Arabidopsis thaliana: one gene and its partner. The protein of the gene in region 1 purifies or fractionates together with the protein of each later gene. This does not show direct contact. Each region holds a gene or a part of one and is shown on either strand. Other genes may lie near its edges.

Region 1 (7,949 bases):
TTCTATCTCACGCTTCTTAGTAGTATTCGCACGTGCGCCTCCCAGTGCTTCCGATGTCTCATTGAAAAGCCTTGTCAACGTTGCTATCACAGGTTTCTGGTGGGCTGGATCAGTTTACAAGAGGTGATCATTATATGACTTTACTCAGAAACAAAACAGAGATAAGGTGCTAATGAAACGTCGTACGATACCTGGAACGTTGGAAGTATCTGCAGTCTGAACAGTTGGTGGCGGAGTTGCAGGCGCAGGGGCTGCCTGTGCAGCTGCCTGCTGTGTTGGAGGACTTGCTGGTTGCACAGATCTTGGAGCAACTCCTGGAGTTGCCATGGGCGTAAATCCTATGGGTCCAGCTGCTGGAGCAACAACTTGGGGCATCTTAGGGTTAGGATATTGCCCAAGTTGTGAAGGGCCAGAAGGTGCATATTGACCAGGACCCGGGGGAACAGGGTATGCATTGTTAGATGGTCCCTGATGAAAATTTAGAAGTTAGCTTCATTAAACTAAAACTGCGGGTAACATCAAACACACTGGAGGCAAAATTTCTCATACCGTGAATGAATGAGAACTCATGGTTGGCTGCTGATATTGATCTGCATTCTTCAGTGCAGGGGGAGTTGAAGGAACAAATGTAGTTCTCATGGATGGCTGAGCATTGCTTGTAGGAGCTGGAGTAAAAGATGGCTGCATAAACACACTATAGTCAACAAGTTGGCCCAAGAAACCTGTACATAGCAAACAAAACACTTTCCCACGACAAAATTTTCTCACGACCTCTCTAGGATATAGATTCTACAGCAGTGAATAAAAGTAAAGGTCTAGATTATCCGTTTCTCTAGGACATGGGTTTAGAGGCTGAAAATGTTCAGTTTTGGGGAGTTTTGTTTTAGGTCAAAGAACCACATACCTATTATAATCCATCTACTATTCTGACTAAAAAAATCACACAAACGAAGAGACTATGCATTTGAGCACCACATACATATTTCAGATGTCATCATATCTCAAAAGCTTGACCAATCCCTTAGACAAAAACATAAAGAAACGGACACTTTCCTGATCTAGACATCTGAGAACTGCTAGATAAGGATGGTCATTAATGCATGATGGTGCAAGGAAGAATAAGAAAAGAAAATGCAACAAAACCAAAACTTTAGAAACCTGCGGAGCTGGCTGAGCTTGGTGTGGCATAAACATGGTTGGTTGCTGCATGGGTGGATGTGAAACTTGAGGGACATAATAAGAATCAGTGTACGGTTGCTGATACTGATTATCATATGGGTTAGCAAGAACGTTTGGTTGCGCCTGAGTTGGCTCCTAAGCCATAGAAGAGTAAAGACTAAGTATGTTATCCGTGAAAGCTACATGGATTCTAAGTAAAATATAAAACGATTTGCAGAACTCAAATACCTGATTATATGGCATGGTGCTTTGAGGCTGAGTGTTTCCTGAAGCTGTAGTGTTAGTCTCTGCGTATAAAATGTTAAGCTAAATTTATCATCAAAACTCTCTTAAATATTAATCAAAAACACAACTGCATACGCACCAGGTTCTGCAGATAGAGAAATACGATCACGTAATATTGAAAGTTCAGGTGACAAGCCACCAGAATCCAGAACTTTCAAGTACTTCATTGCCGTTGTAAGAAGCCCTTGGCTGGCCAGTATCTCAGCATAACTCTCAAAGAGTTTACACAGAGATGCGCTGAACTTTTTGTTGCCAGTTGCCAAAGCAAGGACAAGAGTCTTCTCCATAAGATCCTATTATAAGATAAGGGCAGAAAAATATGAGCGGAGAAGCCCAGCAAAATTTATGCGCGAAACATAGAAAGTGATACACACTTGAAGAAGCTCAGCATAAGATCTTCCATCCCGCTCATTTGCAAGGCTCCTCGACCAAATTTCTACTGTTCTGTCAACATTGCCTGCGCAAATGTAGCAGAGAACTGCAGCCAAAGTGTTACCAGCAGCCATCAACTTCGAGGCAAGGGCATCACACAGGGTTGTCCATTGTTCTCCTTGTGCAAACTGTTTGCCAATGAATATAAGATCAGCATTCATTACAAAGAAGTTTTCTAGTGAGCAGAATAGCGTAGCTGACAAGTTGTTCATCTTGGTTCACGAGTGCACGGAGATAACATCACATTATATTGTTGAAAAGAGTTAAAAGTGATAGCAGAAAATGTTTTCGCTGAGTAAGACACGAAAAAGCAGATTCCATTTCCTTTATGATTATTGGAGTGCATTGATAGACAATATCAATTAGTAAATTTCCTTTCTTTTCTAAGTATTTTTCCCTCAGTCGGAGAAACTTACAGTACAGAGGAGAGCAAGAGTCTCTTTCCAGAACTTATGTGACCTTGTATAGATAAGGCTCCTGAGATCATTGTTCACCATCGCAGAAACAACCTGAAATAGATAAACATACAGTAGTTTACAGATTTTGCAACCACAAACAGGGGTGTAGATGGCACTTACCTACATATCAAGTTGGGAAAGAATATACATATACCTTCATGTATGGCGCACTGCTCGTCTTCAAATATTTCTCACGAGTACTCTCCCACAACGCTGTACCACCAACATGAGCAATAACTAAAGCATCGGCCATCTTATTTGCAGTTATACACTGATCCACCGCCTCCTTGTAATCTCCAACAATCAACGCTCGCTGGATGGCATTATCAAAAACTGGGTCAGAACTTTCTTCCTCTTCTTCTTGCATTTCTTGCGTTTCTTCTCCTTTGGTAGAAAAATCTGTGTCAGAAGGCATAAAATCTTTGGCAGATGTAGATACAGGTGTATCCGGTTTAGCAGGAAAGTTGTTAAAGAAGTCTTCTCCATTATCCATCGCAAATGCAGCTGCCTCGTTACTGTCGTCAAGATCCAGTGCATCTGCCGCAGTATCCTCTAATCTAATGCCATTGAGATCTGATGAGAGCCCATCTACTGCCTGATCCTTTTCCGCAACAGGCAAAGTAAAGCCAAGATGGCTGATCAACTTTGTCCTTGAAGTTCCTTCCTCTTCGAACATGATTTTCAGCAAGCCCCATGTCTCTTTCTCCTCTTCGGATCTGCGAAATCAGTGGAATAAAATGGTCCAAACTGAGTTATCTCATGAGTTTTTATAAGGGCGAATATCAACATTTTCAATCACAAGGATGGCATACTCAGTCTCTTCAGATTTCTTCTCGCACAAACCCCTTAGAGAAGTCATATCTCCATTTTCTATTGCAGCTTCAAATTCAGAAGTTCGACTCACCAAACTCTGTTCTGTTACCAGGCTGTGCAAAAAAACCTAAACATGACACTAAGTCAAATTAGAATTGACGACAAAAGGGGTATAACCGGATAAATAAATATATGTACATAGATACCTACCTCGGATAGAATGCTCGAAGTACCCTTTGCAGGGGCCCTTGCGTGACACGATACAAGCTTTCCCCCAAATCCAAAAGATGCACCAACCGGGCGCTTATACCATTTTGGTGCTTTTAAAGGAGCTGCATAGAGAGGAATATAAGAAGTAATGTTGGTCCTGAAGCTTTTCATCTTCCAGCATAAAAATGATAGAAGTAATCAACGGTAAACAAACGGTTCAGATTGGGTAAATGGAATTACCAGTACCAAAATTATTCTCTTCAACACCATAGCGACTGCAACCCTGCACCAAAGCGTTGAATACGTTTTTTTAATCCATTCTAGGAGGGGAGAAGGGAGATCTACAGTTCAACAGGTCTTGCTAATAAGGTAAATCTCAACTACAAAGTGTATAAGATTAAACTCTAAAACATTTGATTTCCAGTGGTATGTTAACTGGGGACCTGAAACCTAAAATGATGAAGGAGAACAGTCGATAGGGCTGGATTCAAAAGTTCATTATTTGTTATGCCTCATACATTATTTACATTCATTCATATAGAACAAAATAATTTACAATTACTGAAGGGCAAACTACTAAGGTACCTCGATATTGTAGATGCCAATTTTCCCATCAAATGAAGATGCTGATATAACTCCAGGTATCTTTGGGTACCAATGAACATCAAAATTCCAATTGTTGCCAGCAGGTAACTCAGCCACAATCTGTTATGGTTGGATCAAACTCAGTCAAAATGGAAAATAGTTAACTAATTCACGGACCCAGCAAATCTGTATCTTTTATTGATTCCTTCACACTACCTCTGCTGTATTTGTATCCCAGCAAATCGTTCGGTTGTCCTTAGCACAGGTGAGAAGATATGAGCTGTCACTTGGGCACCACTCCATTGCAATTACCCCTGACAGATAAGAAGTATCACCACTACACTTCACCAAGGTGTAACACCAAGAATGAAGACAACAGGACTATAATATAAAGGCACCAAAATATGAGTGGGTTAAAGACTAAGACGTCTGATCTACAAGGCTGTCCACTTACCAACCATAGAAAATGATACCAAGCTAGAGAGAAGCACTGAGAAAAGCATTTTGATATCAATGATTTGAAAATACCTCTTTGGTGTCCAGTAAACTCGCGCACAGGTGACATTATATTCCTCATGTCCCAGAGCTGATTGCAGATACCTTACATCACTAAAAGAACCAAAATTGAACTATATGAAGCAACGCGTTAAATGATTCCTTACCTTCAAAGTAGGTGAACTGTCGTCATCTGATGCAACCATTATCTGAGTAGTAACGTTAGGGTTCCACTGTAAAACAGAGCACCGGCGTCGAACTGAATCTGCAAAGCTGTTGAATGATAATGGCGAGATCAAGGATTTGACAACAAGTTTTTCGAGAGCCTCAATAATATCACTTAATAAATTGAATACTTACTTAATTATAGGCTTCTGCTTCCTCAAGTCCCAAATTACTGGGGGAAAAGAAAATGAAAATAAAGACTGATGAGCAGAAGCAGAAATATAGTAGACAGAAGTGAAGTAGTAGTCAAGTAGATAGAGAAAGAGAGAGAAACCCCTAAGTCTCACCAGTAGTCCCATTGTATGAGGTAGAAGCTAATATCTGTTGAACTTTTCTATTCCACGATATAAAGGAGATTTCACCTTGCGTAGCAGAACCACTACCCTGCAAAAGACCCTCGCATAAAGTTACTCATGGGTTTATACCAAAGCAATAATGAGAGTAAAAGGTAATACAAAAACCAAGGTTGTTGACTAGTAAGAAGTGGTGGTATACCTTGAGCAGTGGAAAATGAGAAGGCTCTGAAGGCTTTAATAAGTCCCAAATGCAAATTTCACCATCATCAGCCCCAGAAGCAAGTAGATTTGAGCTGATAGCATTAAACTCAAGACCACGAACCTAAGAAAAAAAGAAGCACGCACACATGAAAATGAGGAGTGATAAAAACAAAACAGCGTTAAGCAACAAAATAATGCAGAGAGACACAACTCACAGGGCCTTTGTGAACTGAAAGATGGCCAACGAGTGCATTTTCGCTGGGCTGGGAACTGAAAATTGTGACAGTTGTTCGAGTTAGACTCGTTCAGATGAAAATTGGATACCACATACATAACTCTATTAATGCGGATTATAAAAAAAAACAGAGTGAAAATGGCGATTCAATAGCAGCAAAGCAAGGCGAGGAAAGGAAACGCACCCGATCAAAGAAAGAGGATTCCATAGATCTATATTTCCGTCGACAAGGCCGCCGGCAATAAGACCAAGGGCGAATTCCTCGGATCCAGATCCGTTTCTTCCCCAGGCGAGTCTATTGAACCGCTCGGAGCTGGGGATTTCCCCGACGAGAGGCAAGTCGCGATCGTCAGACTGAAAGTCGAGCTTAAAGATCTCGAGATTGGCGGAAGAGCTAAAGGAGAGATCGACGGCTCCGGCCATGGTTCCGGCGGCCATGTAAGGAGCATCGGGAGCCAGGGCAACGGAGGCGGATCGGCCCACCCCCTTGATGCAAGCCATATTGGAATCGGAGATTGGGATTTAATTTTTAGGGTGTGTGAAGTTGAATTCTTGTAAATTGGGATCTGGAGAACAAAGGAGGAGAGGAGTTACTTCACCATTATAGATTTGATTAGAATGTTTTTTATTTTCTTATTTCGACAGGGGCGAAACTGTACTTTCAACTCAAAAGAGTAAGGGTAATCTCGGACACTCCCCTAAGGTTCTGAGAGCCATTCTAAACATGACACGTCAACTAATCTCTGAGGCCTATGACCCATCTTATTTGGGCCTTGGAACAATATGCTGGATAAATCTCATTACCCAACTTTGAATCGCAACAATTGGGCCCAATAATGTGTTTTCAAAAACACGTGAAATTTTTATCATCAAATTTGAAATTATTTATTTAAGTGGTCAATGAGATTGTTATGAATAATAAACTGGGAAGGAATGTGCTGAAACATCGGATCTGGCCAGTGGGGCTACTAGTACACGAAAGTCCCATGTTCGGCTCATATCATTGTCTTACATTTTTTCTGTTCCAGATTTATAGAATTCGTATTAAACAATGGTAGAAAATAAGCTAATATTTGTTTGCAGTTAAATGTATTACGAAGAAACAAAAGATGGAATGATATCAAGTGTGAAAATCAGGATTGCAGCATCGACTCACACACCACATGGCATAACATGATCACTCAGAGACGTTGACATCTTCTCTCCTCGCTCTTTTTTTTCTTCAGATTCTTAGAATTCCACTTGTACATTTTTATCAGGGTAATGCATTTTATGCTTCTTTAACTTTTGTTTTGGGAAAAAAAAGAGAAATAATTATTAAAAACCAATAATCATTGCATCATTCTACTTATAAGTTATAAGTTGCTATCAAGGTGTTTCGTTTTTCTCTCCCAAACGACTAATAATAATCGAAGGCCATATACATTCGAAGATTACTAATTTAATTTAGTAAGTTCACTTCACACCCATAGACACACAACCTTTTCTTACATGAAACATATATATATATATATATATATTGATTGAGGCCCGAAAAATAAAATAAATAAATTAATCTTTAATCTGAATCTGTTATCAAAATAATTGTACTACTTTAAAAATGAAAAACAAAAACAATAGTTGTCAAAAAAAAAAAAAAAAAAAAAAGGAACAATCATTCGTATGGTTGGAGGTTTTGACCCACAAAAAAGAAGAAGTTGTTTAAAGATGCAAACCCACACACTCGTTTCTTCATTTAACTGTCTCTTCTTCAAAACCAAAACCAAAACCAAAACCTTCTATTGTTTCCCTCCCACGCTATAATTCATAGACATAAGAGAATGAGGAAAGGACAGGGCTACTCCTACTCTGTAATCGCATCGGTGTTGGTGTTACTGTGTGTGGTGGTGTCTCGAATCGAATGCAGCAGCCAAGTGCACGCCCTGAGCCGTCTTTACCTGTCTAAGCGAGGGGTTGGTGGTTCGTCCACCATGGACACAAGCCATTTCAAGGCGGTTAAGGATTTGAAACCGTCTTCGCTGCGGAGTGCTGCTAATCAGGAGGGGCTAAGAAAGAGAGATCTGATACGGAGATTGCCCGGACAGCCTCCCGTTAGTTTCGATCAGTACGGCGGCTATGTTACCGTCAACGAATCCGCCGGGCGTTCCTTTTTCTACTATTTCGTGGAAGCCTCTAAGTCTAAAGATTCTTCTCCTCTGCTTCTCTGGCTCAACGGCGGTACGTTTCCACTGTCCACACGCATACGTATATATATTTCTTTTATTTTGGTTTGCATCTTTAGTTAGGGGCACTGCATTATGGGTTTATATCTGTACATCTTATATCTGAGTACAAAGATGAACAAGAATGTTAGTTTGATCGATCGAGGCTGTCTTTTTCTCAGTGCTTATTAATCTATCATATGCTATATGATTTTCAGAATTTAATAATTGTGAGGACCATACCATATTTATGCCTTATAGGTCTGCTAATTTTCTTTTTCTTTTATAATTTTTAAATCAAATTATCGGAACTAATTATTATTTGCGCAACAAT
Region 2 (4,047 bases), about 23 Mb from region 1:
GAGATTCGGATATTTGTCTTAGCAATTAAAAAAAAAAAAAAAAAACTTTTTGGGGCCAAAGCGGGGGGAGAGAGATTTCGAATTGTGAAAATAGGCGCTTCATTCATCGCTTTAGCACTTGTTATCACTGTTAATGACGCAAATACCCTCGATCCTCTTAACTACACGGAGTATTGAAAGGGTAAATATTATAAATCGATGCAGAGCCGGATTAGCATTTTTTGAGCGCCATCGGCAAAATTTCGTAAATCAAAATTTTATGCCTAATTGAGCATTAAAATTTATCAAGTGGCTGGCTAAACGAGCTGGTTAATGAGTTGAAAATTAGTTGATCGATTAAAAACACAATTAACTAAGGTTGAACAGGCTTAAATTTTTAAAGTATTAATTAGTTAAAAATGAGTTTATATTGAAATCAATTAAATTTTGGTTATAAACTACAATGAATTTACGCCAAAATCGGAATCTCATAAAAGGGTAAAAATGTGAAAAACATCATACCAGTAAAAAAAACTCATTATCGGAATTAAAAAGTTTTATGAAAAATACATTTCTTTTGCAATCTCTGTTGTCTGATTAAAATACATAAGAATATACTTTCCTGAGAAACGTATAGAGAGAAACAGGTCCCTAGAAATTGTATACAGAACACACCACATTTTGATATTACCACAAAACAAAAGATAACCAAACAAACAAACAACAATCTATGGCTCAACAACAGTCACTTGTTCCCACTCTCCATCAACAGACTCTTTCCACACTGTAACGTTATTGTTCCCATCGGAAACAGCCAACAAATTACCGGTCAACGACCACGAGACCCGCCACACTGGTGTTTTGAAATCTTTCAAAACAGTACCTTCCCATTGCTCACCTTCTTTCCCTATGGTCCATATGATCACTTTCCCATCTTCTGAACCACTGGCTATGGTTGACTTTGGGAGACCCAAGTTCGGTGCCCAAGCCACATCACGGACCCAATCCGTGTGCTTGTTGAGAGCCGGGAAACAATCCATTTTCCATGACCCGTTCGAGAACTTCCACACTTTCACCGTGCTATCACACCCGCCGGATGCTAGTTTGTAGACCGGATCGATCATACCAGAGCTAACGAGTGCGCCTGGTTCTGTGGCCGGTGCCCACGACACTGAAGTGACACCAACAGGGTGTGCTTGGTCTATCTTTGTCGTGTCCCAACCGCCATCAGCTCGAGCCGAGAAAACTGATATGTTTCCATCAGATGCTCCGCAAGCTAAGGAGAGTCCAAGTTCATGAGGAGCCCAAGCGATAGAGTTGACAGATACTTTGTGGTCTGTGAAGACATGAGCTTGTGTCCATTGGTTTTGGTTACCTTCTTTCCATAATATAATTTGCCCATCATAGGAACATGAAGCGAGAAGTGAACCAAACTTTGGGTGCGCCCAAGCGACTTGCCAGACAGGACCTCGATGACCGGTTAAGGTAGCTAGATGCTGAGATCCACCGCTGTTGCTTACTCCGGTTATCTTGATCGTGCAGTCAGACGAGGCAGTTGCTACTCGCTTTCCATAGTAATCCATGACCACATCATGAATAGTGTCGCTATGACCAGTTTCAATCTTCTGAGGAGGCATGTTTCCTGAATGCTTTCACTGTTACAATACAAATCAACAGGGAACACAACCATGAGCATGTTGATCCAGACATTAACCGAAGCAAAGTGTTAGATTATTAAGCAGAACAATTAACAAATTATCACAGCCAAGACCATATGGTAAGCACAAGGATTATTTAAACTCAGACCTCAATTTTAAGCGATTAATCAACACAATCAACATCGCAATGTTTACAAGTTGTGAAAAAAACAAGATCAAAACGAGAAATTATAAAACGTGGATTCTAAGATTGATCGCTTCCCACCGATGTGAATGAGAGTACATAACCTAAATCGATCTACAGGCGCTGATAGAAGTCTAGCAAATTTTAACGAAATTCATTGGAAGATCAAATTGAGCTAAGACTTCATAAACAACAGAGAAAAATCTCACATCGTTACGAACCTCTGGTATTGGAGTTATCTTCTTCCTTTGAACTCTCCAAAACTCAGATCTGCTACTGCTTAGAGACGAGAGAGACAAAGCGAAAGAGGCGAGTTTGTGTCCTTATTACCGATTCTACCCCTACTTGTTGGAATGACATTAATACCCCCTACATACTATCAGGCAGTAGATGGGCCATCGTGTATATGGTATTGGGCCTTCAATATTGTTTAGTTGTATTATTGGGTATGTTGAAAATTGAGAACACCAATTTGACATTTTTAAACTGAATTCTTTTCATTCATTCTCTCTCATCGAGGCCAAAGCTTCCAAACAAATTCCGGCACCGGTAGAGCCGTTTGCTCGCCGGTGCCGGGAGCTATCGTTCCCTTGTCGCTCTCTTCTCAATGGCTATGTCATCTGGTGTTCTCTATTCTCCCGTGTTCCCATGTTTCGCTTGTCTTTTCTCCCTTTGTATCCAAAGATTACCTTGACCACCATACCTCTGAACACGTTCACTTCTTGTGCTAGTTCTCCCCTTATCTTCTTTGCGACCTCCGTGGTTTATCCCTCTCCTCGGCTCCCCTTGAAGTCAATACCGGCATCTCCCTATTCCCCTCTGGATCGGAGCTTTGCTTTGACGCCGGAGCTGTTGAAGAGCTTTACCTTGGAAGATCCAACTTCTGCAGACCGAGCCTCATCGCAAACAAACTTCGTTTGGTTAGATCTTGTCTCTGACGCCCTCAATTCGGCAGCTGTAAACCCTAAGTCCGTTTTGCCGTCGCCGTCGTCGTTGGTGACAAAGAGAAGATGCGCTTGGCGGCTAAACCTAATGCTGCCTCAGGGTTTTCGCATTGGGCCCAACCCAAGCCCCTTCTGTCCTCCCCCTAACCCATTACCTAAACTATTAAAGCCCATGAAGCCTTCTGCTGGGTTAAGCCCATATCCTCTAAGGCCCAGGTCTGTTTTCAAATCTGTTTTACAAAGCCCAAATTTTTTGATGTTGTTATCATTTAGGGAGAGTAATGGACGCTTTCCTGTGATGGTGATGATGGATTTAGCTTGGATTAGTAGCTCTCTCTCACAAAACCTAGTTGATAGTCTATCTCGTTTGGTCCGTTTTCTTCAGTGTTTGAGTCTAGTCTTGAATCGTTTGGAGCTATTTTCTCTTTGGAAGTGTCCTAGAGTGTTGCTGCCCACACCAAGTATCGTTAATTTACTATCGAGTTCCCTCCTTTTAGCACCCTCTACCTCTGTTTGGGCTGGTAATGGACGCCTTGCTATCAGAATAGTGGTTTGTTTAGGTGGGAATGGTAGTTACCATTGTCGAGATAAGATGTTAAGTTTTCTTTGGACCCTATCCGAGACTCCTTTACCCACCCATAGGCAAATGGCCTTTAGAGTTAAGAGGATCGGCATTATGACCCTGTCTCTACCGAGTAGGTGTTACCGAAGCCTTGAAAACTCTCAACTTATCCACTCACCATTTATCGCGCTCATTCATGTCATGTTAATCTATTGCTTGGATAATTTGCAATCTCTTGACATGTTGAAAAAGTACGGCATTATGACCATGTCTTCAAGAAGTGGTTACCGTCTTTTTCTCAACCTCGTTAACCCGTCAGCCTCCTCAACGGAGCACTTCTTCAAAAGCTCGGATGCATTGTTTGCAAGAGCTTCTTTTGACCACAAGATGGTCGAGGATTTCGCGAAGCCCGCCTTCATGGTCGAATCTGCCAAGGCCTCAACAGATTTTTCAATCATTAGAAAACTCATGAAGCTTCTATCCTTATTTTCCTGTAATTTCTTATTTTCATTGTGTATGAACTTGTCTCTTTTGAGATTTTAATGAATGAAGATCTTTGTTTGACAAAAAAAAAACTGAATTCTTTATATCATTGTTCATATATATAATAACTGAAGAAACATAACTGTTACTAATATAAGAGTCAAAATTATATGGTAAACAAAGAAATTAAACAAAAGTATAACTTTCTAACGTATGGATATTTTGGTCATATTTAAA

Evidence for each region. The genes of interacting proteins can lie anywhere in the genome.
Region 2: the proteins of AT3G63460 (region 1) and AT3G01340 fractionate together in Arabidopsis thaliana (co-fractionation; one large-scale study listed by BioGRID). This does not show direct contact.

The regions. Positions count from the first base shown.
Region 1 is NC_003074.8:23,431,327-23,439,275, forward strand, and holds the start of AT3G63460 (transducin family protein / WD-40 repeat family protein), read right to left. Parts: upstream 6,042-7,949; 5' UTR 5,916-6,041; coding exon 5,599-5,915; intron 5,450-5,598; coding exon 5,395-5,449; intron 5,301-5,394; coding exon 5,178-5,300; intron 5,067-5,177; coding exon 4,970-5,066; intron 4,855-4,969; coding exon 4,818-4,854; intron 4,731-4,817; coding exon 4,625-4,730; intron 4,549-4,624; coding exon 4,491-4,548; intron 4,277-4,490; coding exon 4,179-4,276; intron 4,083-4,178; coding exon 3,963-4,082; intron 3,661-3,962; coding exon 3,618-3,660; intron 3,500-3,617; coding exon 3,378-3,499; intron 3,295-3,377; coding exon 3,167-3,294; intron 3,071-3,166; coding exon 2,509-3,070; intron 2,406-2,508; coding exon 2,313-2,405; intron 2,025-2,312; coding exon 1,839-2,024; intron 1,758-1,838; coding exon 1,544-1,757; intron 1,467-1,543; coding exon 1,408-1,466; intron 1,315-1,407; coding exon 1,159-1,314; intron 682-1,158; coding exon 550-681; intron 469-549; and 3 more. Other genes in the region: scpl40 (serine carboxypeptidase-like 40), read left to right, coding at 7,235-7,631. UniProt on the Arabidopsis thaliana protein: Required for protein transport from the endoplasmic reticulum to the Golgi apparatus.
Region 2 is NC_003074.8:126,850-130,896, forward strand, and holds AT3G01340 (Transducin/WD40 repeat-like superfamily protein), read right to left. Parts: upstream 2,146-4,047; 5' UTR 2,043-2,145; exon of another isoform or gene 2,031-2,042; intron 1,635-2,030; 5' UTR 1,617-1,634; coding exon 708-1,616; 3' UTR 506-707; downstream 1-505. Other genes in the region: AT3G01345 (uncharacterized protein), read left to right, coding at 2,470-3,870. UniProt on the Arabidopsis thaliana protein: Required for protein transport from the endoplasmic reticulum to the Golgi apparatus.